Linked DNA regions of Diceros bicornis minor. The protein of the gene in region 3 interacts with the protein of the main gene of each other region in a pairwise test. Links are inferred from orthologs where the notes say so. Each region holds a gene or a part of one and is shown on either strand. Other genes may lie near its edges.

Region 1 (7,159 bases), on a different chromosome or scaffold from region 3:
TATAACTGGGGGTGGTCGTTACCACATCATCAGTAACTCCACGACCTACCCGTGACGTGCCCTTGACCTTGGCCAAGCCGCTTACACCTCTCCCTGCCTTGGTTTCCCCTCTGTGAAATGGGGCCTCGCACTGCTGTGAGGACTGAGCTACTCGACAGAAACTGCCGGTAACACCGGAATCAGTAGACGGGTCCCACTGTTACGACCGTGGTCACGGCCACTGCCACCAGAATGGTCTGCTGACTTGTGTCTGGGCCTCATTCGAGGCTGTATCACGAGTTCGAGCACAGGGCCAGGCACATGGAGCATGAGAATGGGGAGAACCTTCTCTAAGGCCCCACAGGGCTGGCATGGCCAACCCGGAGCTCCCTCTCCCCATGTGGATAAGGGGTGGAGAAGGCTCTCGCCTCGTGGAGGGGTAAGAGAAGGCAGCCCTGGCCCCTGCCGCCTCCCCTTCTCCACCGTGGGCCTGCGTCACCCTGGAGCCTTCCCTCTGCCTTGCGAGGGGCTCTCTGGGGTTGGCACACAGCTGGCCTCGGCTGGCAGCAGGACCCTACCGCCCTGCTGGCTTCTGCTGCGCGGCCACCAAGCTCTCCCAGGTGTCGTCTGAGTGGCCGCCAGGGAGGCCGAAGCTAAATAAAGGGCTTGGAGCTGGTGGGGCGGCAGCCTGCCCGGCCTGGGCTTTACACCTCCGGGAGGGGCTGCAGCAGGCCGGGCAGGGCGGAAGCCACGGCAGCCAGAAGGTGCCACTGCCTCCCCGCCTTACAGACAGGGAAACTGAGGCTCATGGAATCTTGACGCCGCACAGCTCACTGGAAGGGCCCCAAGAAACCAGTAATGGCAAAGGAGCCAGGGAGCTGGAGCTGGGAAGCCTCACCTGTCCCCTTCTGGAAACTTCGGAATTTTTTTTTTTTTTACCATGAGTGTGAATTATCTAAATAAAAATGATGACAATAATGGCTAAGGTTTACAGAGAGCTCATCACATGCCGGCTGCTGTCCCAAGGGCATTACAAGCGTTAAACAAATAAGGTGACCCTTATAACAACCCTCTGGGGTGGATACTATTAATACTGCCAGCTGGGGAAACTGAGGCACAGAGAGATCAAAAGATTCGCTGGGGGTCATGCAGCAAGTCAAGGATTCAGGAGCCAGGATGTGAAGCCAGGTGGGCAGGCCTGTGCTCAGAAGCACACCCAGATGCCTTTTTACTAACCCCACCGCCCCCTCTGCTACCTTACTCCCTCTCAGGCCCTGAGCCAAGTTCTTTTCAGACCCAACCTCATTTCATTCTTACAGTGGTCTTGGGGACCAGGGGTCTTGCTGCCCCCAGAGCAGAGCAGCAAGGGGCAGGGCTGGGATTAGAACCCAGGCTTGCCTGCTGGTGGAGCCGCTGAGGCCCCCTGCCTCCACTACAGCCTCGGGGCTCTCTTGGCAGCAGGACAGGAAAAGGTTCTGGGCCAGGAGGGAGGCGGGAAGAGGGCGTGGCGGGAGGAAGACGCTGCAGGAGAGGGGGCACCCGCCTCCCACCCAGCAGGACCAAACCCTTCTCCATTCTGAGCTATAGATTAACCTCTGAATGTGACAGAAAGAGGTGTTCCCAAGAATAGTCTTTTAGAGCTTTGTGAAGGTCTTAAGTATTTCATAATAAGGTGTTACACACGGCAAGAAGCACAAATGCTAGAACTTTCTTCTTACACCTCAGGGGCTTGCCCGGCAGGCCAAGAGACAGCTGCTTTAAGAAATGGGTTGGAGATGGAACCGGGAACCAGCTGTAGGGACTACCGCCCTGTCTTGGCAGGACAGAGAAGGGCCCTTCTAGGAGGTTCTGGATAAATGACTGGGAGTAGCCATATGGGAGAGTGGAGTGAGGAATTTCTAACTGGAAGGTTCTGAGAAATATACACTCTCAGTTTGAGAGTATAACATAGGTATGTGGGTACAGGAGTTCTGATTTGGGGGAGCAGGTTAGGCCATTAGGTCTTATGAGAGCCATTCTGTTGGTCTGCCAGCACTGCTGGGCAGGGAGGGGGGCAAGAGGACACCCAGACTTAGGATTCTGGGTCTGGATTTAAGAGCAAAGAGATAAAAGAAGGGGCAGTGAATTTGGAATCACACTGGGAGGGTCCCTGGTGGGGGCAAGGACAATCTGGGTGTCCGAGAACAGCAGACCAGCCTGGGGTCAGGAGGAAGGCGAGGTGGCCTTGGGTTTGGGTGACAATTCCAACGCCAGCAAAGGTTCCCACAGGAAGCCTGTCTTGGGGTGGGCAATGACTGGGTCTGCACTACCCAGCAGAGGCAGGAGTTCTGGCTGGGCGGGAGCCACGTGGGTAGGGTTTCCAGGTGTGATGGGAAATGAGGTCTGCAGTGGGTGACACTAAAGAAGAGCGGCTGGAAGTGGAGGCTCCCTCAGGGTGGAGCTGGTGGCTCAGTCTGGAAGGGAACACGATTCCAAAACTCTAGTCCTAGATGGGACTGAAGGCCCTGGGGGGGCACGGGTCTACACTCTAGGAAAGGAGTCTTGGGTATGGCTTCGAGTCCCAGGCCAGGAACAGAAATCTCAGGGGAAGACAGAGCTCCTTGCTTTGTTTGGAGGAGTGGGATCTCTGGATCTGAATGGGAACCCCGTCAAGACCCAGGGAGGAAGACTCCAGAATAGAAGCAAAGTATTAGGGGTCCAGACTCTAGGAACTGGGGAGGGCCGATGGGATATCCAAGAAAAGTGGGTACCCGAATAGGACCCGGGTCCAGACTCTGAGGCAGAGTTCTGAGTGTAGATGGAAGGTCCCAGACAGGATTGGGGGGCACCCACAAAGCTTATCTTGAGAGTCTAGCCTCCGAAGAAGGTGCCCTATGGATCAACTGGGAGTTCCATGCAGAAATCGGAAGCGGGGCCCGGATCGCGGGCAGGAACCCAGGGTCCCGGCAGTTCTGGGGTCCCGGAGTTGAATCAAGGAACCCCGGGCGATAATGAAAGTCCAGACTGCGGGGTGGGGATCCCGGGTGTCAATGGCGGGGCCCTGGCGGTATCGGGGGGCAGAACTCCGGAGCGGAGTCCCGGCAGCGGGGGAAGGGGATGGGCGCACGCGCTCTACCTGGTGCCGCCAGCGGAAGAGGCTGGCCGTGTCGATGTTGGGGTGCGTCTCGTCCTCATCGTCAGACACCTCGATGTGGTCCCACACGCTGTAGTCCACCATCTTGCCTCGGCGGCCCAGCCCGCTCCGGCGGCGGCGGCAGCGCTGGAGGCTCAGCCCGCGGAGCCCCGCCCCTTCCGTTTCCGCCTGCGCGCGCACGCCCCTGCCCGCGCATGACGTCACATCCTTGGTAACGGCGGCGGCGGCGCTGGAGACCGAGCTCGCCTTAAAGGGCCCTGCGCACGTGTGCTGGCCCCCGGGAGTCCCCGCCGAGACCCCCTCTCATCCGGACCCAGGCACCTCCTGGGGGTATACGGGAGGGCGCTCTAACCTCTATCCCCCCGCATCTCCCGCTGCCCCACGTCGGGCGTTTGCGGCGGCCGTGGGGTGGAGGGGACAGTTCGTGAGACTGAGGGAGAGGATTGTCCCCTTAGTCACGCCGCAGTGACGTCAGCCCGAGCCCACTGCAGGGGCGGGGCCTCGGCGAAACTACCCGCCCCTCTGCCCTGTGTGGGGAGGGACCTAACCCTACGCTGGGGAGGGGTGTGTCGGATCGCAGGGGACCTTCCCAGTCCGAGGGGTACAGGGCCCTGCCCTGGGAGCCTGTAACTGGAGGAGGGATATGGCCTTGCCCTTGGGGCGTCGGAGGTGGGGGCGAAGTGGCTGTGCTTTGGGGGCTGCTGTTTTCCAGGCTCGGGCACAGCGTCCTCATCTTCCGCCACTCTTGAGCGGGGATTCGCGCACACACGCCCACTCTGGAATCACCCGGATCCCCCGCAACGGGTCCCGGGCGCCCGCCCGCGGCGTCTCCCCGTGCGGCCGCTAGGTGTCGCTAATGTCTAGCCAGCGGTCAGGGCTCCTGGCCCCGTGCAGGGCCGGGTCGGGGGGGATCGTGGAGGTGCGGATGGGGGCTTTCCTCGTCGTGGTGCTCTAGGACCCCTCCAGGCCCTCCCCTTTCGTTTGGGGCCCCCTGCCTCGGCCGGAGCTCTAAGGACTCCCTTACTCTGAGCTTGGGCGACCCCAGCCGCACTCTTGCGTACACCCCAACCCACGCTTTGATACTGGGATAAAAGGCCGTGTTGCAGCCGAGGGCCGGGATTATCTCAGATTAAAGGGCGCTCCGTGGGGGCCGGGTGGGATGGGAGGAGTTTCACTCGGGTGAGGGGCGCCTCTTCCCAGAGCTGCTGTTTGCAGGGAGGGGACTGGAGGGGATGGAGTAAAGGGCTCCAGATTGGGGGCGGATTCCCCGGCCTGGGGAGGAGGTGGGGCCATTCAAACAAAAGCGCCCGCCCGCTGCCGCCCCTCCCCCTCGAGCTCCATTCAACCCCGTGAGTGGGCGGGCGGGGGAGTCCCTCTCCTCCCCCTCCCCCAACCCCTCCCCCTCCAGCCCGGGCAGTCCAGCATCTCAGCGGCCGTCACGGCCCGAGCACGCGCGCAAGGACCCACACCCCAGCGGGTCTCACAATCGCGCACACACACGTACACACACCCCAGCAAACAAAGGGTCTGGACACCCCTGTCCCCTCCCGCCCCCCAGGCCGGAGAGGGCGGGGCATCCCCTCCCCAGCCCCCCTGCAAGGTAAGCTTCGGGCTGCGAGCTGCGGTGGGGAGGGAGACCCGGCGCCCCGGAGGGAGGGGGCCAGGACAGTGGGGGCTTCCTCTGCTCCCCAAGAAAGCCGGGCCCCCCCCGTACGCCCTTGGAGGCTTCAGGCCGGCTTCCGGGCTCGGGGTGTGTGGGGAGGACCCCGGATGTCGGGGATTCCCGGGTAGGCGCGGGGGGGTCTCTCCCCGGCTTCGGAGACTGAAGCTGCCCGGTGCCAGCGAAACGGGGTCCTAGGAGCCCCAGCTCCCAGAACTGGAGAGAGGGCGCCGGAAGCTGCCCCATCAGCGAGGAGCATTTCCGAATCTCCTGCCAGCACAGCATCTCCAACCCTGGGGACCGAAACAGAGACCCCTGAGTTGCTTTGCACTGTCCCTCGGTCTCCCACCCCCCTCCTCCCGTCAGAGCATCCCCTGCTTCGTTTCTCGGACCTGTGAGGTGGGCGCGGGGGCTGGGAGTGCTCCTCTGGGCTACACAAGCTTCGTCTGCTGTATCCCACAGCCACGCACTCGCTACTGAGCTGCGGTGGGCCCCGGCAAGCGGCTTTGCCTTCCTGAGCCTCAATGTCCCCATCTGCAAAGTGGGTAATGACACGGCCAGGATGCCCAGGGGCCATGCACGCGAGCCTGCCTTTCCTCCATCATTTATTTCTTAGCTCATTTCACACATATTTCCCGAGAGCCTGCTATGCGCCACGGCGCTGTGGCCAGGCGGGGGCTACAGCCACCAACAAGACCAGCTGGGTCCCTGCTCTGCTGCCCCTCAAGGCTGGCGAGGGAGCAAGATCCGTGTCTAAACAGAGAAGTACCCGCGGCGATTGCAGACCGTGAAGACGAACCTTCCATCAGGCAAGGGCGGGGGTGGGGGGGTGTTGGAGATTAAATGAGATTTCTGGGTCGTTCCTGCCTTCCTTGTTCGCTTCAGCTCCACGAGGGCAGGGCCGGCTTTAGAACAGGGCCTGGCACACAGTTGGCGCCCCATAAATGTTGAATGAATTAAAGAAGGGCTTAGATTAAAACTATTTTCATGGCACTTGAGATCAGGAAGGAAGCTTATCATGAACCGATCCATCCCCTCTCCCATTTTACAGATGAAGCAACTGAGTCCGTAAGACCCAGAGAAAGGAAAAGATGGTGTTAACGGTGATACAGGGAGTTTATAAGGGGACATCATTCCCCTAAAAGTGAGGATGGCTGAAGGCATGGTTGTGAACAGCTGAGAAAGAAAGAGAGTAGAGAACACACTTGCACACAGGGCCCCCTGGGAGCCCAGCGAGCACCCACCTCTCCCTCTGTACCATGCAGACACAGCCCTGCATTCATCCATTCAACAAGTATTCAGCGCCTACTATATGCCAGGTGCGGGGGACACAGCAGTGAACAGAGCAAAACTCCTTGCCCCCCTGGAGCTGATATTTAGTGGAAGAAACAGAAAAGAAACAACATAAACAAACAAATAAATATATAACAACAAATTATGATTAGGACTTCGATGGAAATAGATGGCTTCTGACAAGAAAGAAAAATGAAAGGGTGCAATTCAGATTCGGCATCCAGGAAGACTTCCTGGAGGAGGTGGCTTACTCTTCACACACACACTTGAATCCAGACAAACGTAATCATACTAACAAATACTCAGGCTGAAGCCTGAGAACCTAATGTGTCTGAGGCCATACAGCTCATGAGTGGCTGAGCAGAGAATTGAACCCCAAATCTGCATTTCTAACCACTGTGAAATGCTGTTCCTGTTGCATCCACATGCATGTACCCCACCTCCCCAACACACACACACTCATATGACAGTCACACACAGACATGACCTGTCACCCTGTCCTGTACACACACTCCCACAGGTACAGTCTGATCTCAACTACGCAAACTCAGACTCACAGAAAGTTCCACCCGTCCGGTTGCACATGCACAGTTGGGTACAAAGTCTCATGCACGCACACACACGTGCACACACACACGCACGGCGCCCCTGACTGTCCTTCTCAGCCCTGCTCCAGCTCCAGGCATGGAGCTTGAGTAGTGATTGTCCCCTAATTCAGGCTTGAAGGCTCAGGGCCAAGGTGTGGCCAAGGGTGCTTATCCTCATTTCCTTCCATCTTGTTGGCTCCCCGTCCCCATATTGTTTTCAGGGAGGATGTTGGGCTGGGTGAAGCCATGTCGGGCCAGGCCAGGGGCTCCCAGGCTGGGCCAGTGGCTGACAAGCTGGGTGGGGAAAAGGCCTCTCCCAGCCTGAGCCGGGTGCCAGCTGCCCAGAGTGGCCTGCTCTGCCATCTGGACGCCCCTCCCCAGCTGGCCTGCTGCCCGGGGGAGGGGAAGGCAGTTTAGTGCCCCCATCCACCCGGGCACTCAGGCTGGCTCCTGAGGCCCTGCCTCCCCAACCTGGGTTTCCGCCAGGGCTGATTCCTGCAAACGCGC
Region 2 (7,328 bases), on a different chromosome or scaffold from region 3:
TTGGGAGCTGGACAGTGACCCAGGAACTCTAGGACAGGGGAGATGGGTGTGGTGCTCCCAGAGAATGGACAAAAATAAACCAAAACAGATCTGGGCCTCGTGTGGTCATACACATACACCCCATTGCCTCCATGGCAAAACCTCTCTCTGCTCTTTGGGACACTCTGGTGTCTTCTTCAAGACTCTGAACATAGAGAAATAAGAGGGCTCACAGGGGGCTGACTGGCTTCCCCCTGGACCCACACGACCAGTTCTAGACCAACTCAGACCCCACCTGAGCGGGTGGAGTAGGAAGGATGGTGGAGGCAAGTATGTCCCTAAGCCAGGAACAGAGGTCTCAGTGGGCACCTTCCTACCCTCTCTGTCCACTCTGGCTACCTTTCCACCCCCAGCCCCTTGAGACAAAGCAGGCCACCCATTCCCCCCACTTCCTCCTCTCCCTAAAAGCCTGCCCAGGATACAAATGCAAATACATCAATGACCTTTGATTCAACACCTAAAATGTCAGCTACCCAAGGGCAAGGTTTTTACTCATTTTTTTCACCACTGTAATGTACCCCAGTGCCTGGAAGAGTGTTTTGTCCATAGAAGGTGCTCATTAAATATTTAAGTATTTCTTGAATGAATACCCACTGGGCACTTCTATTTACTTTTCTCTAAATTAAATATTTACCAGAAAGGCTGACGGCCCCCACTTCATTCACTGATTCAACCAATACTGACTGAGCTTTTACTAGGTGCCAGGCATATGGTGCATCATTATGACTCAGCAGAAACTCCCCACAGCCCAGAGAGGTGGGGTGAACTGCCAAGGTCACACAGCATATCTGTGGCAGAGGAGGACTAGGCCCCAGGCTCCTTGGCCTCCAGAGCCCAGATTTCTTTCCATTACACCATAGGCTTGTGATTGCAAGGCAGGGCAGATTGGCAGCACACACCCAGACTGGCGCCAGGCCGCGGGGCACTGTGGGGCCCATGCTGAGGGACAGATGAACGCCTTGCAGCCAGCTGCCCCCGGTGACCAGCCTGGCCAGGGCCTGACCGCTTCCGGCTGTCACAGCTAGTGCGGGGTCCTCCAGGAGAGGGCGCCCGAGACTCGCTCGGCCTGTGCCCTCCCTAGCAGGCCCACACGCTCCTCATGCGCACATCAGTGCATGCCCCCATTACCGACATTCAGACGGGAGACCCACAAGCTTGTTCCAGGCTCTGTGCCAGGCCCTTCTAAATAGTTACTATTCATTTTAATATTTAATATAATAATTTAAAGCCATCACAACAAGCTAAGTCAGATCATGTAATTCCTCGGCTCAAGATCCTGAGATGACTTCCCATTTCTCTAGGAATAAAAGCTCCATGGTCTACAAGACGCTCAGCTATCTGATCCCTGCTACCTGTCTGATCTTATGTCCCTCTACTCTCCCCCCACTCCCTCCAGCCCCTCTGGCCACCTGCTCTTCTCAGAGCCCCCAGGGCACAGTCCCACTCCTGCCTGAAGCAGTCCTGCCCAGACATCTGCACCATTTCCTTCCTCTCCCCTTCAAGATTGGCTCAGCTGTTCCCAGCGAGGTCAATTCCTATACCCTATGTGAGAACGCAAGCCCCCACCACACTCCCATCCCCCTTACCCTGCTAGATTTTTTTCCACAGTACTGTCTCCTTCTAACGATCTATATCGTTGCTTTATTTCTTTATATTTGTCTCCTTCCTCGACTATAAACAGCATGGGGGCAGGAATCCTTGTCTGTTTTGTCCACTGCTGTACCTCTAGTGCTTAGGACAGTGCCAGGTACACAGTAGGAACTCAAAAATATATGTCGAATGAATGAATAAACCGTGAGGTGGGCTACGCCCATTTTATAGATGAGGAAACTGAGGCTTAGAGATGTTAAGGGACTTGATCAAGATCACACAGTTCATTTATTCAACCAACTGACCAGCCAACCAGCCAACATTTACAACCACCTACTGCATTCCACGCAATTTGGTGACGCACAGTGCTGGGTGGCTTTGGGTTATTGGTTTTTAAAAAGTCTCTAGTCCTTTGTTCCTGATGTTCCTTCCACTTACAATGCCTTCCTCCACATTTTTACCTTTTAGAATTTAATTTTCGTTTAAGAATTCAATTCATCATCCACAGTTGCCAGGGGTTGGTGGAGGGGGCGTGGCTGACTACAAAGGGGATGCTGGGCGAATATTTAGGGTGATGAGACTGTTCTGTATGGTCCTGGGGTAGCCGATGCGCAGTTCTCTGCATTTGTCAAAACCTGGAGAACTGCACATCACAAAGAGTAAGCTTTAATGTGTGCAAACTAAAACAGAAAATTTCCTTTTTCAAGGCTATTAGTCCCTATGGACATAATTCCGTGTTTCAATTGTTTCTTTCTACCCTCTCCATGCACACACAGACATAAGCACACTTTGACTTCCGTCTCCCAGAATGATGGTGGGGGATAAGGAGGCGACATTAAGAGTATCTTTCTCCATCTCCTAGGGACTCAGGGCTCTTCTCTTGGCTGCTCTCTGCCCTTCCCAGCTTCATCCCTCAGGGCTCAAGTTCAGGCCTGGGTCTCTCACCCGAAGTTTTTTTTAAACTTTTTATTTTGAGATAATTACAGACTCACAAGTGGCTATAAGAAACAATACAAAGAGAGCCCATCTACCCTCCACTTGGTTTCCCCCAATGGAGTATCTTGCATAACTATAGTACCATATCACTGCCAGGAAATTGCCATCGATACAGTTTACCCACCTTCTTCAGATTTTACCAGTTTTACATGCACTCATTAGTGTGTGTGTGTGCACGCGTGCATGTGTGTGTTTGTGTGTGCACTTAGTTCTATGCAGTTTTATCACATGTGCAAATTCATGTGACCACCACCAGAGTCAAGACACAGAACTGTTCCATCACAAAAGTCTCACTTGGACTCTTAAAAGCGGTAATGTCCTATCTTGATGTTTCTCAAAGTGCAACTCTTAGATGCCTCTGAGTCACCTGGACCACTTGTTAAAAGTGCAGATTCCTGAACTCTCCCAGCGACCCTACTGAACTTGTGTCTCTGGGGGGGTGGCAGAACCTGTACTTTATAGAGGCCATACTTTGAGAACCACTGGTCTAACTGGTCTCCAACTCGCCCATCTCCAGTTCACCCTCCACACTATGGCTGCCAGAGGAATCGTTCTAAAACACAGCTCTGACCACATTATCCTGCTGCTTAACACTCTGCACAGGGGCCCAACTGCCATCAGGATAGAGATCTTAGCAAGCAAAGCTCTCTCCGTCAGGCCCCACCTCCCACCTCCACTCACCCCACCACACTGCGGTTCAATCCCTCCAAACTCCTCCAATTTCAGAACACATCATCTACTTTCACCACACTCTGATTTTAGTCATGCTGTTCCCTCTGCGTGGAACGTCCTTCCCACTCTTCTCTGCCTGTTGCAACCCTATTCAATTACTCATTTTTATGGATGAGGACTTGGAGGTTGAGAGATGTTTGGTGTCAGCCAGCAAGTAAGGGCAAGACCAGCTGGGAGCCGGAATCCTCCTGACTCCTTGCTCCTGGTTTTACTGATCACCGCGCTGTCATGGAGGCTGGGGGCCGCCCCTGTCCTCTTCCCTGCTGTCTGCTCACCTCCACTTGGGCCTCCCTCCCCATCTGCCTCTCAGGCAGATCACCCAGGGCCTCTCCCTCTCCCTCAGCCAGTGGGACAGGGAATCAGGGGTCTGAAAGGAGGGAGGAACAGGAATGGGATTGCGCTCAGGGGTAACCCGACTCTGGGGTGGGGGGCAGGCACACCACGGGGGAGGGGGCTTGGAACAAGTCCTCAGGGACCTGTTTAAGCTGAGGCAGGCTATGGGGGCTCCTGGAGGGAGAGAAGGAGCAGAGAGATGTCCAAGTTCCCTCCTCTGCTGCCCCCTCCCTCCACAGCTCCCTCGCAACCCGAGCCGGGGGGCCTAAAAATAGCCCCCGAGGCGCAACCACTGGCCGCCCTGGTGACCTTCTGGGTAGCACAGGCCGAAGGCAGGCGGGCAGCAGGAAGGCAGGACGCCGGCCCCCCAGGACTCATCTCCAGGGCACCGTCCCCTGGGTGCCCCCGTGGCCATCCAGTTCCAGCGTCTCCCCAGCCCAGCTCGCAGAGGCCATGCAGAAAGCCCGGGGCATGCGAGGCGAGGACGCGGGCACGAGGGCACCCCCCAGCCCCACGGTGCCCCCGAAGAGGGCCAAGGTGGGGGCCGGCGGAGGGGCCGGGGCCGGGGCGCCCGTCTTCCTGCGGCCCCTGAAGGACGTGGCGGTGTGTGCGGGCAGCGACGTGCGGCTGCGGGTGGTGGTGAGCGGGACGCCCCAGCCCGGCCTCAGCTGGTTCCGGGATGGGCAGCCCCTGCCCCCGCCGGCCCCCGAGCCCAGCTGCCTGTGGCTGCGGAGCTGCGGGGCACAGGACGCCGGCGTGTACAGCTGCAGGGCCCAGAACCAGCGGGGCCAGGCCTCCTGCGAGGCTGTTCTCACAGTGCTGGCGGTCGGAGGTAATGGGGAGGAGAGGGCTCGCCTGGCGGGGTGGGGTGTGCAGAGGTAGACCAGGCCTGCTCCGGCCACGTGGGGAGGTACCGGTTCATCCAGCCTTCTCCCCAGGTGCTCTGGCTTCTCAGCTGTGCTGATCCAGAAGTGACCATCAAGAGCAAAGTGCAGGGAAAGTGATGTCAAGGTTGAGAGGCTCTGTGTAGGAAGGTCAGAGGTCAAGGGCCAGCATTTGGTAGGCAAAGTCTGAGCCCCACTCAGGCCTCTCTGGGAATTCTGTGAAAGCCTTCCTAGTTTCCCTGTAGAGAGAGGCCTTCTGGGAAATCACCTTCATCAGCTTCAGCAGTTTAGATTTGAGACCCCTGATCAACCCCTTACAGGCATGTGCATGACTGAAGGAGGGGCCAGTCCCCTGGTCCTGCTGCACTGTTGAGGGGATGGGTCAGAGCTCCTTGCAGTCCATTGCTGGGGCAGGTTGATATGGTTGGCACCAGGCTGGTTGGAAGAGGCCAGTGAGTGGACAAGTATGAACAGGGTGCAGAGCATCAGGGCTGGGGTCCTGGGCGTGTATGGAGGTGGGTGTTTGAGAATCCACATGCAAGCATGCACGTGGCAGGTGCGTGTACCGGCTGTGGAGGGGTCTGGTGGTACAAGCAGATGAGGGACAGGTGTTTGTAGAGTTGGTATGGAGAGTCCATGGATATGTCTACCTGAGGTTCTAAAGTGGATGTTTGGAGGGCCTGGAAGGGAGATGCTTGTGAGGGTAGAGTGCCAGGCTCGTGTGTAAAGGGATGGATGATGGTCCGAGGCAGAAGGGGAGAGGCATGAGACTAGGCCTGGTGCTAGGGTCCTGCTGGGGCTGGTGTGGGTGCCAAGCCAGGGCCGATTCTCCTTGGGTCAATTTTTGGGCTTCCTTTTTGACTTCCTCATCCCCGAAGCCAGCCAGTTCTTCTCCAGGCTTAAGACAGAACCTTGGCAACCTGAGTCTTGACAAATAGAATTCTGAGAAAGTAGGCTACAGTCGGGGGAGATGGCAAAGAGCTTGGGGGCCGCTGAATCTGCCCTGGTCATTTTCAAGAGGGAATTCTCACTCCAGCTGGATGATGTCTTGTAGGGGTATATGCTTGGGGGCTAAGGAGGAGGCTCAGGGATGAAGGACCTAACAGCTGGAGGGGAAAGAAGGCTCTAGAGTGCAGCCAAGTAAAGAGATGAAGCAGAGGCTCAGCTCCCTCTGTCAGCATCTCGGCTCTCTCCCTAGCCCCACCCTGCCCCACCTCCTACAGTCTTCAGTGAGAGAGAGGCCAAGGCTGGCTTCTCTTGGGTGGCCTCACACCTGTCCAGGTACTGGCTTTCCTAGCCTGGGGATAGGGGACCAGGCATGTCCTAGCAGAGCCCTGAGGTGAGAAAGGATCAGATTCCTTGGGGATCTTAGCTCCGGTCCCCTTAGGGGCAAAGGGGACTGAAAACAGAACATAAATCAGAGGGCAAGATAGATTGATGAGAATACGGCTTGGGGGAGAGCGATATTAGGGAAGGGAAAGGCAGCGCTGAGAAGGAGTGTGGTGGTCATAATGTTTGTTTAAACTTGGGAAGAACCACAGAGAACCACAGCTCCAAACACTGCCTTTTACGGGTGAGGATGCTGTGGTCCAGAGTGGAGGGAGATCTGCCCCAAGACATACAGCTAGTTATGGCCCTCCCAGAACTAGGGACTAGTCCTCCTGGTTTCTGATCTGGGGACTTGTTACTACTCCAGAAGTTCTGAATGGAGGAGAGAGAAAGGGAGGGGGAGCTGTCCATTGTATGGAGAGTAGTCCAGATCTGGCCTTTCTGAAAACGAGAGCCCCCTACTCTGCCCTCGTCCCCCAAAGTGGGGAGAGTGACAAAGTGCTAGAGCCCCCCAGCAGGGCTGTGTCCTCAGCCCTTCTGTAATCTGGGGCATGGTCGGCAGAGGTGAGTCCTGGCTGGGTATGTTTAGACAGAGGCTGGGGGCTGGTTCCAGGCTGTTCTGGTGGACTAGCATGTCTGAAAGGCTTGGGGTGAGGAAAGGACCCTCGGTGCTCTGGGGCTGGATGTGGGGCCTTTTGACAGTCATGTTAAAACAGGAAGAGGGATGGGTTGCAGCAAGTCACATTTGAGAATTTTTTCATCCTGGTGAAATCTTTACCCCAAGGGTGGCCTGATAATTATCATTAATTGGTAATAATTCTTAGTAGTCATTTATAATAATATGAATAGCTACTATGTTACTGTGTGGCAGGCAATATGCTATCACATCCTTTGATATATCTTTTAAGTCCTGTGGCAACCCTGGGGAAACTGAGGCCCAGAAGGATTAAATGACATGTCCTGTTGTACAGACAGAAGAGGGCAGAGCAAGAATGGAAGGCTTGGTCTGTCCCACTGCAAAGAACCATGTGCTTAACTACTACGCCCCTCCCACACGATGTGGGGGAGGGAGGGGCTTTGCTTTGGTGATGTTGGGGGACAGACTGGGTGACTCGGGCTTCTTCCTCCTATTGCCCGCTCCCACTCACCTCTGCCCAGGAATAGGTCCTGCTCAGGGCAGCTGGGCAAGCAGCTCAGTATTGCTCAGACTTATTCATGGAAAACTTTCTTGGTTGGGATCAACAGCAGGAGGACTTCAGGGTTCTCGAGGAAGCCCAGCCAGGACCTGGCTACAGAGGGAAGGAGGCTGTTTCCTGGCTGGGATTGCAGTCTGGCTCGGCAAGACGGGGTGATGCTAAGGTTCCTGGCACTCTTGAAGCCTGAGATGTTAGCTCAGGGGTGGAGGGATGTTGGCATGGCTTGAGG
Region 3 (7,119 bases):
CTCCCATCCCAGCTACTTTCTGGGACCTCAGCCTCCACAGGGTGCAAAAAGGCACGTCTGCGCACCGGGCGTGAGCAGCTGGGGGACAGTCCCACCACCGGTCACGAGAGGGCGGCAGAGACCGGCACGCCCCGCCCTCCGGCTGGAGTCGCAGGCACGCATGCGCGCTCCCACTCCAGCCTCCCAAGAGCGGCCCCGTGGAGCTGCCAGGTTCACCTCGGTCTCCAAGGCAACGGCTGAGCGAAAGGACCCCCGGAGCGTGTGCCACGCATGCGCAAAGGGGCGGCCCGCTGCCAGGGGAGGCACTGCACATGCGTGGGAAATTCAGGTCCAGCCCTGCCAAACATTAACCCCACGAAGAATCAGCATTCTCAGGAACTGTCCACACTCACCTCGTGGATGCCGAAGTGAGCGTACGAGTCAAAGTAGTAATCTTTGGAAGTCATGTCCTCAGCATTGGGCTTCTCGCTGCTCTCTGCCTGGCCACAGGAGACCTGGGAGGGGTGGATGGGAGCGCGGGTCAAAACTGGGGGCTCCCCACGGCTTCTTAAACCTCCAGGTCCCTACTTATGAAGAGCATAGACACCCCCCAAATCGTACCTACAGCCCCCGCCTGCCATCTTGCCTCCCCCAGAACCCCAAAACCTAACAACCCCATTCTCTCTTTCCAGGACCCCCCCCAAAGCACCATCCAGGGGAGCACCCCGATACCTCAGCCACGCCTACCATCTCTCCAGTCTCTCTGCCCCCATCTCTAGCTCAGCCCACAGCTGGAGAGGGGAGGGGAAGCAGAACTGGGGTCGACACAGGGAAGGGCAAAGGGGGGCTGGGAATGGAGTTAAGGAAGTAGCCACAGTATTGGGGGAGGCCAGCTGGGGGCCACAGAGCTGGAGGGAGTTTGGAGTAAGTGCTTCGGAGGTACGGAGTAAACAGTTTGAAGCAAGAGAGATCATGGTTAGACTGCTAGGAAGGGCCTGATGTGTGGCAAGACATGTTTATGTGGGGAAGGGTCTCACAAAAGGATATTTACTTCTTCAAGAGGCGGCTGGAGGCTCATCCCATTAGCCAAGGTGGCTACAAAATTCTAGGAGAGAGTAACAGGGAGAAAGGATTAGCTACTGGGGGTGGCTAGGGGAAGGCCAGGCCAGAGGACACAGGCCCGTAGGGGCAGGGGGGTGTTGCCTGCAATTTTCCTTTTCCTTGGTGGGGAGTGGTGACAGAGGGAGCAAGTAAAGAGGCGGGGCTGTTTTTAAAAAGAGAGAAGTGGAGGGAGAAGAGAGGGGTCCTGTCTCAGCTGTGGCTGGAGAGATGGTGGCCTGCCCCAACACTGCCCCTCTCTGGCCAGGCACCTGACCATACACACCTCCCCCATCCTGGCCAGAGGAATGGCACCCGCCGGGCACACAGGCACTGCCAGCTGTCACTCCCCCTCATCATCTAATCCCCCCAGATTAGGTGACATTTCCTGACACACACCCCCATCCTGGGGTGCCAGGAGTAGCTGGGGGAGGGGGGCTGGCAAGGTGCACCCACTGGGCATCTGCCACCTCTGCAAACCAGTCTCTTATGAGAGGATTCCAGAAAGGAGGTGTGGCACCCCCACCAGAGGTGGCACCCCAGCCTCTACCTCCTGCGTTGGGCTCAGGAAGGCCAGAACAAAACCAGCTGGAACCAATCACCTCTCTTGTTACCCTCTACCCAGAAAGGTAGTCCCAGGGAGGATGGCCAGACTCTGGCCCCTCAAGCCCCTCTCCCCTCATTCACACACCCATCCAAGGCCCTGAAGCCCCCCAGGTGTGGGGCCAAGTCCGGGGACAACCTCTGGGGAAGATATTTCTTCCACGACCAGATACAGGCCCGGGTCCAGGAGAGAGCCATGGGGGGTGGTCACACTGGAGTGACCCCTGGGAGCTCCCCCCCAATGGTATGCATCTTGGTGACTGAGGCCCCATCACATTACATCTCTTCCAGATGTGACCACCCTCCAAGCGTGAAGTCACAGACACGACCCACTGGGCTCCAAGCCCCACTCCCATCCTCCAAGCCAGTAAGGAAGCCTGGGGAGGGGATTTCCCACTGGGGCCCATTTCTCAACACCACTAATACCACCACCAGACGAGCCCCAAGAGGGCTTGAAATCCAGCACCGCAACCAGCCCCACATGGCAGCACAAGAACCAAACCTCACGGGAAACCACTTCATGCATCAAAGCTCAGGACCCCTAAATAGGACATCAGGAAGGGGGAGGTCATCTCCCACTCTCACAAATGCGTCGGAGAAAGGGGTCCTGTAAGGGGTTAAGCTCGCAGCCTGTATTCCATCACATCCCCTTCCCAGCAGACAAACTCTCCCTCCCCTTGCCCCGGAGGGCTCCAACCAGGAGGTGGGCTTTGGGACACGCCCCATGAAAAAGATGTCCCTCCCACACACCCAGAAATGGCCACAAGGGGGTGCACGAAGCCTTATCGAGAAGGATCTCCTTCAGCTAGGTGCCCCCCCAGAGGGAGGTCACAGGGGCATACCCCATCCCCCCAGCTCCCAGAGCGCAGGGCGGGGGAGAATCCAGCAACAGGAAACGGGACGGCCCGAAGGGGGCCAATTCTTAGTCTTCCTCCAACCCCAACCCCAAAGTGCACGAAACCTGGACCGATGCCTAAGCAGACGCCCCGCTCCCGGAAAGGGGGTTGCAGAGGCTCAAGATACATCGCCCCTCCTAAGAGGCTCTTTACTTCGCAGAGGACCCCAGGTAAGTGCCACCAGAGGCGTATGTCACGATCCCCGGGGAGGTGGGCTGGGGGCGTCCGAGGGAGGGTCGGAGCCTCCTCCCCGCCCCCCCGGGCGCCCCTCCTCCGGTCGGGGGCGGGGCCTTTGTCCCACACGTGGAGCCCGCCAGGCCACCGGGCACGGCACACCCCCTCCCCACCCACCGCGCCGCGGCCACGTGGGGGCCAGGCCGGAAGCGCCCCCGGCCCTCCTCCACGTGGGAGGGGGCACGATACCCACGGTTCGGCCGGCTGCCGCGGGCCCCCGAAAGCTAGGGAGCCCGAACTTCAAAAGGTACCCCCGGATCCGGAATATGCGACGCCCTCTCGGTACGGCTGGGGGCCTTCTGCCCCAATCCGTCTATTCGGAGCTCCTTCTCCATGACGGAGGCATAAAACACCGACCCCCAAACCGCCCCCGCCCCCGACGGCGCTCCAGGCGCTCACCTCCATGATGCAGTTCGCGGCCTCCGCTGCCGCCATCTTCACCCGCACCTACTCCTCCTCCGGCCGCCGAAACCCCCCCCTTTCTCCGCACTCCCCCGGGACCGTCTTATACCGGAGGGTCCACGGCCCGCCCAGCGCGACCCCGCCTGGAGATCTCATTGGCAGTGAAGGCGGCCCGTCTGGGAATACCATTTGACAATTGGACGAAGAAGACGCCCGTCAAAGTTCAGGGGCCCGCCCAGTCTGGCGTGTAGAGCCCCGCCCCCTTAAGTCGACCGGGATGGGAAAGACTGCCCGTCTATCGTAAGAAGCGCGACTGATGATTGGGCAAAGTCAACCAGGAATTCCCGCCCGTTCCCCCACCAGCACCGCCTCACAACTTCCCGGCGGGCCCCGCGCTAAGTGGACATCTTGAAATAGAGCTGTCCGTCACCAAAACGATCCGCCTTTTAATAGCTGCTATTGGCTTAGCCCAAATGTGACGTCACGAGGACTTTGGCCTGCCCTCGCCAAGCTGTCGGCCTCGAGGGGAACACGGGATTGGCCCATCAGGAGGTAGGTACCGTTTTAGGCTTCAGCGATTGGTTAGAAGGACTGTCACTCATCGCCCATTCGGTGGATTCTCCCAGCCCTAGGGGAGTCCAGGAGGAACAAGAGAGCGTATGCCTATTTACCCGAGGGGAAATGTGAAGCAGTGCGAGGTCCAGAGAGGGAGGGCTTGTCCGGGCTTGCGAGACAAGTCAGGAATAAGCCTCAGGCATTGAGGCATTTAACCTTTAGCCCTCTATTTAACTGCCCCAAGTTTTTAAAACCCAGGGAGCCCGCTCAAGCCGCTTGGACTTTGCCAAGCCCCTCCCATTGCCGGGAACACCCGCCTCCCTTCGTCTGGCCAACTCCTATACGTCAGTCAGGGCCCAGCTCAGAGGCCGCCTACTCCAGGAAGCTTTCCTCGTCCTGCAGAAAGTTACTAGTTGGATGAAGATGAATGCGACTTGCAGAATCTATCCATCACGCCAGATAGTTCCTTTATGACCATTTCCAGTCAAGACCTCCCCCTTTCTGTTTTCTGTCACTATAGTGTAGCTTTCCCTTTTCTAAAATTTCATATGAATGGAATTATACTCTTTGTGCTCTTTGGTGTCTGTCTTTCACTCAGCATAATGCTTTTGAGTTTCAGCCATGTTGTTGCATACAACAGTTGTCCCATCCTTTCTACTGCTGAGGAGTATTCCATCGTGTGGCTGTATCACAATTTGCTGATGGACATCTGGGTAGTTTCCCGATTGGAGTTATTACAAATAAAGTGGCTATGAACGTTCACCTACAAGTCTTTCTGTGGACACACACTTTCATTTCTCTCGGCTAAACCTAGAAGCAGATGGCTAGGTCGTATGCTACGGTTAGGTGTATGTTTAACTTTATAAGAAACTCCCAAGTTTTCCAGTGTGTTCCACCATTTTCTTGAATTTTAACCATTCTTGTGGGTATGAAGCGATATCTCGTGGTTCTCTTTTGCATTGTCCTGACCACTAATGTTGAGCACTTTTTTGTGTGATTGTTGGCCATTTTTCTGTATCTTTTTTTTTTTTTCTGCTTGAGGAAGATTGGCCCTGAGCTAACATCTGTGCCAATCGTCCTTTATTTTGTATGTGGGATACCACCATAGCATGGCTTGATGAGTGGTGTGTGGGTCTGCACCTGGGATCCGAACCCTCGAACCCCGGGCTGCAAAGCGGAGCGCGCGAACTTAACCACCATGCCACCGGGCCAGCCCTTGTGTGTATCTTCTTTTATCGAGTGTTTGTTCAAGTCTTTTGCCCATTTTTACAAACGGTTTTGTTTTCTTTTTTCTTTTTTTTGGTATGTGTGTGAGGAAGATCAGCCCTGAGCTAATATGCTATGCCAATCCTCTTTTTTTTTTTTTTTTGCCGAGGAAGATTGGCCTTGAGCTAACATCTGTGCCCATCTTGTTCTACTTTATATGGGACGCCACCACAGCATGGTGTGACAAGCGGTGTCTCGGTGTGCACCCAGGATCCAAACCCGCAAACCCCGGGCTGCTGAAGTGGAGTGCGCACACTTAACCGCTTGAGCCACCGGGCCAGCCCCTACAGTGTTGTTTTCTTATTCAGAAATTGTAAACGTTCTTTATAGATTCTGGAGACAAGTGTCTGTCAGATATATCTACTTGGAATATTTTCTCCCAATCTGTGATTTGCCTTTTCATTTTATTAACGTTGTCTTTGGAAGAGCAGAGATTCTAAATTTTGATGAAGTCCTATTAATCAATTATCACAGCCCACATCTTGACCCCTACTGTACTGCCTTTTTTTTTTTGGTGAGGAAGACTAGGCCTGAGCTAATATCTGATGCCGATCCTCCTCTTTTTGCTGAGGAAGACTGGCCCTGGGCTAACATCCGTGCCCATCTTCCTCTACTTTATATGGGACGCCGCCACAGCGTGGCTTGACAAGCGGTGCATCGGTGCGCGCCCAGGATGTGAACTTGCACACCCTGGGCCGCCGCAGCAGAGCGTGTGCACTTAACCATTACGCCACCGGGCCGGCCCCCCGTTTTTTTTTTTTTGCTATTTTTCCAAATGTTTCAGCATTTTTGTGAGTGTGAGGGAGATCGGCCCTGAGCTAACATCTGTTCCCAATCCTCCTCTTTTTTTGCTGAGGAAGACTGGCCCTGGGCTCACACCCGTGCCCATCTTCCTCCACTTTATATGGGGCTTGGCTGCAGCATGGCCTGACAACTGGTGGGTCGGTGCGCGCCCGGGACCCGAACTGGCGAACCCCGGGCTGCCGCAGCGGAGCGCGTGCACTCAACAACTTGCGCCACCAGGCTGGCCCCGTGTCAGCATTTTTTAACCTTTTTTTCTGATTTCCAAGTATTTTGACCCGATCAATTACTTTTGCTATGTGCTGCTACGAAGAGCAAAAAATTAATACAAACTATCTCTTCAACACTACAGAATAACCAAATGTCATTGAAAAGAGGATGGCATTGGGCAGGGGGATACCTGGGTATAGAGTTCAGGGGAGAGATCTGAGCAAGAGTCAGAAGTGGGGGCATCATCAGCATTAAATTCTGCATTTTCCAACATGGCAGCCACTTGCCCCATGGGGCAATGAGCAATGGACTGTGGCAAGTCTGAACCGAGATGTGTTGCGAGCGCAAGACACACACCAGATTCTGAGGACTTTATATTAAAAAAAAAAAAAGAATCTCAGGGCCGCCCTGTGGCGAAGCGGTTAAGTGCGTGCTCCGCTGGCGGCCCAGGTTTGGATCCCAGGCGCGCACAGCAGCACTGCTTGTCAGGCCATGCTGTGGCGGCGTCCCATATAAAGTGGAGGAAAATGGGCACGGATGTTAGCCCAGGGCCAGTCTTCCTCAGCAAAAAAGAGGAGGATTGGCAACAGATGTTAGCTCAGGGCTGATCTTCTACACACACACACAAAAAAAGTGTATTATCATAAGCCGCTAAATTTGTGGGATTTGTTACACAGCAATAACTAATATACCTCAAAATGTCATTCCTGCTCTACTTAGAAATCATGGTTATTAGACGCTCTCTGGGTGTTGTTAATTGATGTTAATGAAGAAGCATGGCTATTATTATATACACTCATTTTTATATCAACACTGAAAACTTTATTTCAATATACGGTCGATTCTTATGATTTGTGGTGTATGTTCTAAAAAGTCGCTGCGAACACTGACTTAGTGAACACAGAGCCATCGTTCCTAAGGAAAATTCAGGGTCAGGTTCCTGTGAGCCTCTGGTCCCAACACTTTTGTCAGCCCACCAATAAACAACCTTATTTTATGTGTGTTTTCTGCTTAAAGTCACCTTACTTAATAGATATTGTTCATTCATTCACAGTGAACTCTCGGCCAACAGCAC
Region 4 (7,698 bases), on a different chromosome or scaffold from region 3:
AAAACTGTGGTCCGGTGAGGTGTCTAAGAGTAGTGAAAACAAACAGAAAATAAAATGGTTATGAAGTTTTCACAGCACTACTGAATTAAGCTTACATTTAAAGGAGTTAAAATAATTATTTTTAAAAATTCTACCTAATTCTTTGCTCTCCACAAGAAATACATATCTTATTCTGTTAGAAAACAGTACTGCCAATAGGGCTGAACAAAAGGCTCCTTTCTTTTCCAACCAGAAAGTAGTCCCTCATCTGAAAGCAACAGTTGACATCTCAGCTCTTCATGGTGGGGTTTCTACCTCAACTCCATCCTGCCTCACAGTCCACCTGGCCTCAGAGCATTTTCCTGAATCCATCTTTTCAAGTTGGCTCATCTTTCTACCTCTCTACACCTCACTTGACTACTTTCCTTCCTCTGTACACATCTTTAACGCAGAACCCTGAATCATTAACATGATCAAATCAAATGCCCAAAGGCTATGTATAATGAACAAACTGATTTTTCCAAGATGACCCTAAGACATTTTAAGGTTAAAACTTAAGGCATTTTCAATAGCACTACAAGTTATGCTCTCTGTGGCATATAAAAAGTAAATACAAATCACTTCTTCCATGTGGTATTCACAAACACACCAGTGAGGCATCAAAAATCAAAATATTTCAACCTACATTTTGCTGAGGTTTCTACGTGAGAAATGATTCTAAATCACTGACATGTAAGTTCAATGTTTGCAAGAAGACTTTTACACAAGAAGAGTTATGTAAAACATAAAGTTGGCAAAGCTGATGTGGAACAGCGAATGATCTCCGATGTGTGTGTGAAATCAGCAGATTTAGCCCCACATTGTTCGGCTAAGTGAGGTAGCAAATTTGTTTCATGAGAACTTATGTTATCAACCTACTGCACATAAACACTATTATACCGCCTTAAAAACGTTCCAGTTACACACTGGTCAGATTATTTAGCCATCAGTTATGTTTTGCTTTTAACCTCCAAACTTGCAGCTGAAGATTTCACTAAAAATAACAGGCCAGGTTGAGGAGAGAGGGGCTGTGATCCAGGGGGGCCTCTAGAGTGCTGGCAGTGTCCTATTTCCGGGTCTGAAAGGTGGTTACTTGGGAGTTTGCACTGTAATTCTCTGTTAAACCAGACACACTTTAGGTACTTCTCTATATATGATATACATAAGTAGGAAAAACATGGAGCATTATCCAAGGTAGTGGCTTTTAGATACTTTAGGGCAGTCAGTATCCAAACTGCAGAGATTTAGAGCTTCATACCACATAATAAGCTAAAGTCAGTATGGGGGAAGTTTGTGGGAGCCCAAATGCTTTGCTGTAAAGACAGAAATTAAGGGCTTAAAAAGCTCTTAAAACATCTAGCCTAACTCCTCCATTTCAAAGGAAAGGAAACCAAAGTCCAGATAAATTGCGGGACTCTCCAAAGGTTCCCCAGCCAGGCCTACTGCTGGGTGTCTACATAAACCACAACTGTAATTCTAACACAGTACCTGGTGGTTACCAGTAAAGAGAGTTTGAGCAAAATAGACCAAAAAATTGGCACGTCCAGCCACACAAAAATTTCAACATACACATTCTGACTCCCCCTTACATAATTCAAACACTGCAGGGAAGAGGAAGGTGGAAAGGCCTCTAAGGAAACCACTTCCCACCAGGATGTGTATTGGACTGTGGTATTCCAGAGTCCTCTCTTCTAGGGGCACTCTGTACCCTGGCACTAACAGCCAGCATTTACTTGCCTGTTTACTGACCACACAGTTCGGGAAGAGTTCTTAAACTGTCCCTAAGTTCCTGGAGTCTTGAACCTTTTCGAATTAAAACTCTGAAGGACCCAGAGCTTCTCCTGTCTTATCTCGTCTTCTCCCACTGCCTCTAGGGCCTGGAATTAGGCCCTCTAAGAACACCCCCGGAGGCAATAATGCCCCATCCTACCAATAACCACAGCTTAGCCCTAGAACAAACCGCAGGTGATGTGGAGGCTACACTCTCAAACGCTCTGTGCAGCAAGAACCACCCTAGACATCACGCCCGAGCTCCCACCCCGAGCTTTCTTTCCAAGCCCACTGTGTGCCTCCTTTCCCTCTTTTCTATCAGTCCACGAAATAAACAAGCCTGTCGGCTTAACATATGAGAATAAACGTGCGAGACGATTGCTCGAGCACAACTCAAACGCCGACTCGGGCCTTTTGTTTCTCCTAGGTCAAAGAGACCAGAAATTTCTTTTGGGAGGGATTTCTGGCCTCGCGATTCGGGCTGACCTTATACAACAGATCTCCCTCGGCGTCTACTGAAAAATGATCCTAGGAGACTACTTAATTACTTTTGAGGGAGGGAAGAGATGGGATTAATAACTATAATAAACGGAGAAGCCCAGGGGGCAGCTGATGGGGAGGCTCTAAAGGGGGAGCACATTCCCTCTAAAGCCCATGCGGGCAGAAAAGTTCGGCTCGGGGCTAGAACCCGCCAAAGGGGCAGCTCGGCGGCACCGTACGCCCCAGCCGACCCGGCCATCAGGATGACGGGGCTCCCGCTCATCGGTCGGCGCCCCTCGGCCCACGGACCCGCGATGCCTTTTTTGTTGATATGCTTCCCCCTACTCGGGCTTCTCACTGAGGCAGACTCGCCTTCCAGCTCGAACCGCCTCCCTGGAAATGGGGGTGGGGAGGGTCAGAGTGGCAGCCCCAGAGCCGCCGTTGGCCCCCCGCCTCCGGTTTCGGGGCGCCAGGCTCCAGGCTTGGCCGAGCCTCTCCCCCCACGCGGGGCCCGGGAGGCCGCAGGCCCCGCCCACGTGGCGGGCGGCCCGGAGCGCGGGACCCGACGGCCGCCACACAATAGAGACCACCGCGAGCCCCGCGCGCCCCCGCCGCCGCGAGCCCCCCGCGCGCCGGGGGCGCCAGAAGGTTCCAGAACCGGCCTGCTCGGTGGGGGGAGGGGAGGGGAACGCGGGCCCTCGAGCTCGTCGGGCCGCGGCGGGTACCTCACACGCTTCTCAGCAACTCCACTTAGTTGCCCCGGCCACCCCCAGAGACGAGCGGCCCCCGATTTGGGCGACCCAGCCGTCGCCGGCGCGACCGCAGCTCCACCACACTCACCCGTGGACGCCATTTTCTCTCCTTCCTTCTCGTTCTCTCAACGTCCGTCTCCCTCTCGCTTTCCCTTTAGGCGCCGCACTGCGCAGGCGCGAAACCCGCAACCTCGGGCGCTACCATGGGGCCAGGCCACGGGGGTGGGGGAAGGAGGGATGAACCACAGCTTTCTGGTCCTTCCCGCCCGCAACTCTTGTGCTATTCCTCTCTAAAGAGCGCCGGACGTGACGCGCGGGCCAAAATAGCACCAAAGGGGCCGGAGCGGCCGGTGAGCGTGTCTTGGTATCAAGCCGGAGTGATTCTCCGCACGAGGCTAAGTCGTACGGAATGGTTACGTCCGCTGGCTCTAGGGACCGTCTCTGAAGAGTCTGCCTTGGAGGGAAACGGAGGCCGGCGGGAGGGTTGGGGGAAGGGACCCGGGCCTAGAACAACTGCTGACTAATCGGCGGGCGGCGGCGGAGGGGGTGGTGCGCCGGCCGGTCGGCAGAGGTCACGCGCCCGACTGCGAACAAAATGGGCTCCGGGCGCTCGCGCCGTGGCGGGAAGTTAGAGTCCCGACTCCCAGGCGGGAGCCCCCCGCGGGCTTCCGGGGGCGGGGGGCGCGCTCCGCAGTGAGTAACTCCGACACGTGGCCCAGGCCGGCGGGGGAGGGGGCTGAGGCCGGTGGGCTGGATGGGAGGCCCCGAATGTGGTGCCCGGCCCGAGAGCCGCCCCCCCCTCCCCGGTAACGGTCGAGGTTGAGAAGGCCCTTTAATATCCCCCATCCAAAACTCTTGTTTTTACAGAAGGGGAAACTGAGGTCCAGGGAATTTGGGTACTTTTCCTAAAGTCACAAAGCTGAGTCTGACCTACACCTTGGGACCCCCATTCTCTTCATCACCCGGAAGACTCTTACCCGTCTTTATCTTCCCATTCTGTCCTCCTGGCTTCTCAGTAAGGTAGGCAGGGCCTGATGGTGCACAGCCCCATTTTATAGATGAAGAGACTGAGGCCCGGAGGACTCAAGTCCTAGTTCTGTTAGTCTATGGGCAAGTCCTTAACTCTTGCTGAGGTACCCAGGGAGGGATGGTTGTGAGGGTGCAAAAGCAGGCTGGCAGTGGGTGCCATAGCTCCGGACAAGGCTGGCACCTGTCTGCCTTCCTGGACTCAACCCAGTCTCCCCAGGCAGGTTCCCAGGCCCAGGGAAGTGCAGAGCTCACCCAAACCCCTCAGTGGGACCTGGAGCAAAGCTAGTGGCTTTATTTCAGTCAACACATATAGAGCACCAGCTATGTGCTGGGAGCACCCGGGGGAACTGGGGGATGAGTAAGAGCACCCCTTTTCCCCAGCTCAGACCACCTGTCTAAGGAGAAAGGCCAAGCTGTGCTCATTAGATAGGCTAAGATCCATGATGTGGGGGGCCAGAGGAGGGGAAGGGGACATTTGAGCTGGGCTTCAAAGCGTGAATAGGAGTTTGCCTATTGGCGAGATGGAGGCAAGGACATTGCAGGCAGAGGAGCTTTCTGCATTTTTCCTGCAGGAAACTGGCAGGTGGGTTTTGATGCTGAGGATGCCCTTAAGCAAGGGAGCAGGTGAGGCAGCCTTTGGGTCTCTGTGGGATTTTGCTTCCTGCCCTATGAAATCAGCTCCGTGGGAGTCCTGAGGCAGGCCTGGCCAGGGGTGAGGGGGGTTCCAGCAGGGCCTGGAGGACAGGCTAGATGTGAGGGAAGAGAACAAGGAAGAAAAACCCTTGCCTTGTGGGCAGGGAATTGGCATGTTTGAGGGCCAGAGCTTGAAACAGCTAGGCAGGAGCAGTTGCCTCTATGTTGAGGCCTCCTCTTGGTGGGCCAGCTGCTGGCTATATCTGCCTCCCACAATTAGGCGGATGGCTGCAGTTCATTGAGCAGGGTCTGTGGGCCCGGCCCTGCATTATCCCATTCCTTTTTCTCATCCTATAAGGAAAGGATTTTCTTAATCCCCATTTTACAGATGAGGAAGGAGAGGCTCAGAGGCTGGAAAACTTGCCCAGGGATGCACAGCAGGAAGAAGTGGAGTGGATACTAAAACCTTCCTGTGAGAAGAGGGGCTAGGGCTGGAGGGGCTGTGCTCAGGACTCACGAAGGGGATGTGTCAGTCCGGTGTCATTTTGTATGCACTCAGGGTGAGGGACTCCTGTTGCCCCTCCTCCACCCAGTCTGTCCCGCCTCCTCCCTAATCTGCCTGCCCATTGGCTGGCCTCACCTCCTCCCTTAAGTGCAGCTGGGGCCATCTGGAGCCCTAAGGCTGAGCCCGGTGGAGGGGAGGAGGGAGGAAGGTGGCTGGTCCACAACCAGAGGGAAGAGGGAAGCAGAGGAAAGCTGGAGATGGCCCTGAGTTTGCCATGGGGGGCTCCACCCCTCTTTTTGGGAGTCCAGGGCCCCCGTTAAACTTCCCTGGCCCTGTGCCTCCCACCCCAGACTCCTCCTTAGGGCCCATCAGGGCTCAGGGCCCTTTTGGCCTGGCCCCTCCCCGTCTTCACACATAGGCAGATGGGATGGCAAAATGGCTAGGAACGTGGTTAGGATCCGAGCTCCTCCATGGCCAAGTTGCTGGGCCTGCCTCTCCAGCCTTAGTTTCTACTTCTGTAAAATGGAGCCGCTGGTAGGGTGGTTGAAAGGAAATCAAAGAAAAGCTGCAGAAATAACTTATTGTTTTCCTTTGCCTCTAGCACACACCCCGAAGACCACCCTTGACCACCTTCAGCCCAGCTATGCCTGCCAGAGGCCCCCCTGGCCTACTGTCACCAGCGCTGCCTCTCGCCTCCTCGGTCCTGATGCTGCTCATGAGCAGCTTGTGGCTGGTGGGGGCTGGCCCCAGCCTTGCCCTAGCCCCAGAGCTGCTGCTGGACCCTTGGCAAGGTGAGGGCTGGCCACATGGGCCTTGGAGGAGGCAGGAGACTTGCTGTAGGGCCTGAGACCAGTTGGCAGGAGTGGTGTGCCCTGGGGAAGGTCAGCCTTGGACGGGAGCATGCCCAGCTCATTCACAGCCAAGAAGGGAAAGCAGAGGGGCCAGCAGAGGGGTGGGAGCCTGTGGGTAGGAATTCTTTTCAGATGACTTCCCTTTTTGATGACTTTTGCTGGAAATAAGAACTAAGGCTTTCAGCTAAGCATGAGAGTGGGGAGGAGGTGCTGGGGGTTCGAGGAGTGACCCCAGCTGAGTGCCTGTTTCCCAGTAATAACAGCAGCTTCTATTTACATTTGAGGAACCCAGCTAATGCTCACAGAGGTTAAGTGACTCGTGCACAGTTGGTTGCTTTTGAGAAGACTGAGCGTTGGGTCCGGCTTGTTCTGTTTAATACAGCAGGGGAGCAGTCACAGTGTTTGAAGGTCCTTGGTCCTGGTCCCCTGCATGCATGATTAAAGTGCTGGCAATGGGCAGACTTTGACTCCTGGAGAGGGGAGGCTGGCTTAGCAGGTGGCCCTTGCAGCGTAATTTCCAACCTGGAACACCTGGGACAGCCTTGGGGGTTAGGGCCACTAACCTGGCACATAAACCCCTTCTCTCCCCCAGTGCACCGGCTGCTGACCCATGCCCTGGGCCACACGGCCCTACCCGGCCTGCTCCTGAGCCTGCTGCTCCTGCCTACACTGGGCTGGCAGCAGGAGTGCCACCTGGGCACACTGCGGTTCCTGCATGCCTCTGCCCTGCTCGCCCTGGCCACCGGGCTAATGGCCGTGCTGCTGGCAGGCCTCGGGGTGTCCAGTGCAGCCGGTGGCTGCGGATACATGCCTGTCCACTTGGCCATGCTGGCGGGGCAGGGTTGTCACCCTAGACGGCCCCATGGGGCACTGCCACCGCGGCTGCTGCCATGGCTGCTGCTCGCCCTGACGCCGCTGCTCAGCTCCGAGCCACCCTTCCTACAGCTCTTCTGCGGCCTCCTTGCTGGCCTGGCCTGTATCTTTTGCCTGGGCCGAGGGCCCATGCGGACATGTGGGTTCTGTGGCTGGGCCCCCAGGGTGCCTGGAAAGGAAGTGGCACAAGGAGGTAGCCCCAACAATGCTGGGAACCTGTGCACACACATTCTGGGGGCTCGTGGCCGGGTGGAGGTGCCGAAGTGGCCCAAAGAAGCACCTAACCTGGACTTCCTCAGTGGAGGCAGCATCTACACTGAGATGTGCAGGATGAGGAGTTCAGGTGAAGAGAAGTGGAAAAGGAGAGAGTGGGCCAGGCAGAGGGCACAGAAAGGTCAAAGGCCAGGGGTGAGAGTGAGCCTGGGGCTGTCTGGGCACTGAACGGAGGTGCCGCCTCTGGCTGGTGGTGCAGGTGTGTTCAACACAGGCTCTTGCTCCAAAGATACTTAGTGCCTGGCAAGGAAAACAGTGCAGTTGGAGAGAACAGTGGGCACAGGCTGACCCCCTGTAGGCATTTAAGACTGGGGATGCCAGCTGCCCAGGCCTGGTTGAATCCTGGAGCATGGGCAGCATCTTTCCCTGGCTGAGGGCAATAGGGGATATGTCACTGGGCCCAAGAGTTGGCCTCAAGTCACAGACCTGAGCACGCCACAGGGCTCTGGGAACAGAACGGGGCAGGGGGTGGCTGAAACGGGATGAGACAGCTTTTGGGGTGAGGCATATCTGG

What was found.
Region 1: the proteins of PRMT1 (region 3) and CDC37 interact in binary tests that used the Homo sapiens proteins (3 or more experiments, as listed by UniProt). The link is inferred for Diceros bicornis minor from reciprocal best matches to the Homo sapiens genes PRMT1 and CDC37.
Region 2: the proteins of PRMT1 (region 3) and SPEG interact in binary tests that used the Homo sapiens proteins (3 or more experiments, as listed by UniProt). The two-hybrid records come from large-scale screens. The link is inferred for Diceros bicornis minor from reciprocal best matches to the Homo sapiens genes PRMT1 and SPEG.
Region 4: the proteins of PRMT1 (region 3) and EWSR1 interact in a two-hybrid assay, tested with the Homo sapiens proteins (2 studies listed by BioGRID and IntAct). The link is inferred for Diceros bicornis minor from reciprocal best matches to the Homo sapiens genes PRMT1 and EWSR1.

The regions. Positions count from the first base shown.
Region 1 is NC_080769.1:8,807,582-8,814,740, reverse strand, and holds the start of CDC37 (hsp90 co-chaperone Cdc37), read right to left. Parts: upstream 3,241-7,159; 5' UTR 3,197-3,240; coding exon 3,095-3,196; intron 1-3,094. Other genes in the region: collagen alpha-1(I) chain-like, read right to left, coding at 4,593-5,065. UniProt on the Homo sapiens protein: Co-chaperone that binds to numerous kinases and promotes their interaction with the Hsp90 complex, resulting in stabilization and promotion of their activity. Inhibits HSP90AA1 ATPase activity.
Region 2 is NC_080776.1:9,697,211-9,704,538, forward strand, and holds the start of SPEG (striated muscle preferentially expressed protein kinase), read left to right. Parts: upstream 1-4,088; 5' UTR 4,089-4,143; coding exon 4,144-4,522; intron 4,523-7,328.
Region 3 is NC_080773.1:25,063,227-25,070,345, reverse strand, and holds the start of PRMT1 (protein arginine N-methyltransferase 1), read right to left. Parts: upstream 3,261-7,119; 5' UTR 3,246-3,260; coding exon 3,210-3,245; intron 1,085-3,209; coding exon 1,031-1,084; intron 820-1,030; exon of another isoform or gene 730-819; coding exon of another isoform or gene 712-729; intron 495-711; coding exon 393-494; intron 1-392. UniProt on the Homo sapiens protein: Arginine methyltransferase that methylates (mono and asymmetric dimethylation) the guanidino nitrogens of arginyl residues present in proteins such as ESR1, histone H2, H3 and H4, FMR1, ILF3, HNRNPA1, HNRNPD, NFATC2IP, SUPT5H, TAF15, EWS, HABP4, SERBP1, RBM15, FOXO1, CHTOP, MAP3K5/ASK1, MICU1 and NPRL2.
Region 4 is NC_080774.1:22,947,656-22,955,353, reverse strand, and holds the start of EWSR1 (RNA-binding protein EWS), read right to left. Parts: upstream 3,224-7,698; 5' UTR 3,122-3,223; coding exon 3,109-3,121; intron 1-3,108. Other genes in the region: RHBDD3 (rhomboid domain-containing protein 3), read left to right, coding at 3,224-3,370, 5,789-5,978, 6,631-7,014. UniProt on the Homo sapiens protein: Binds to ssRNA containing the consensus sequence 5'-AGGUAA-3'. Might normally function as a transcriptional repressor. EWS-fusion-proteins (EFPS) may play a role in the tumorigenic process.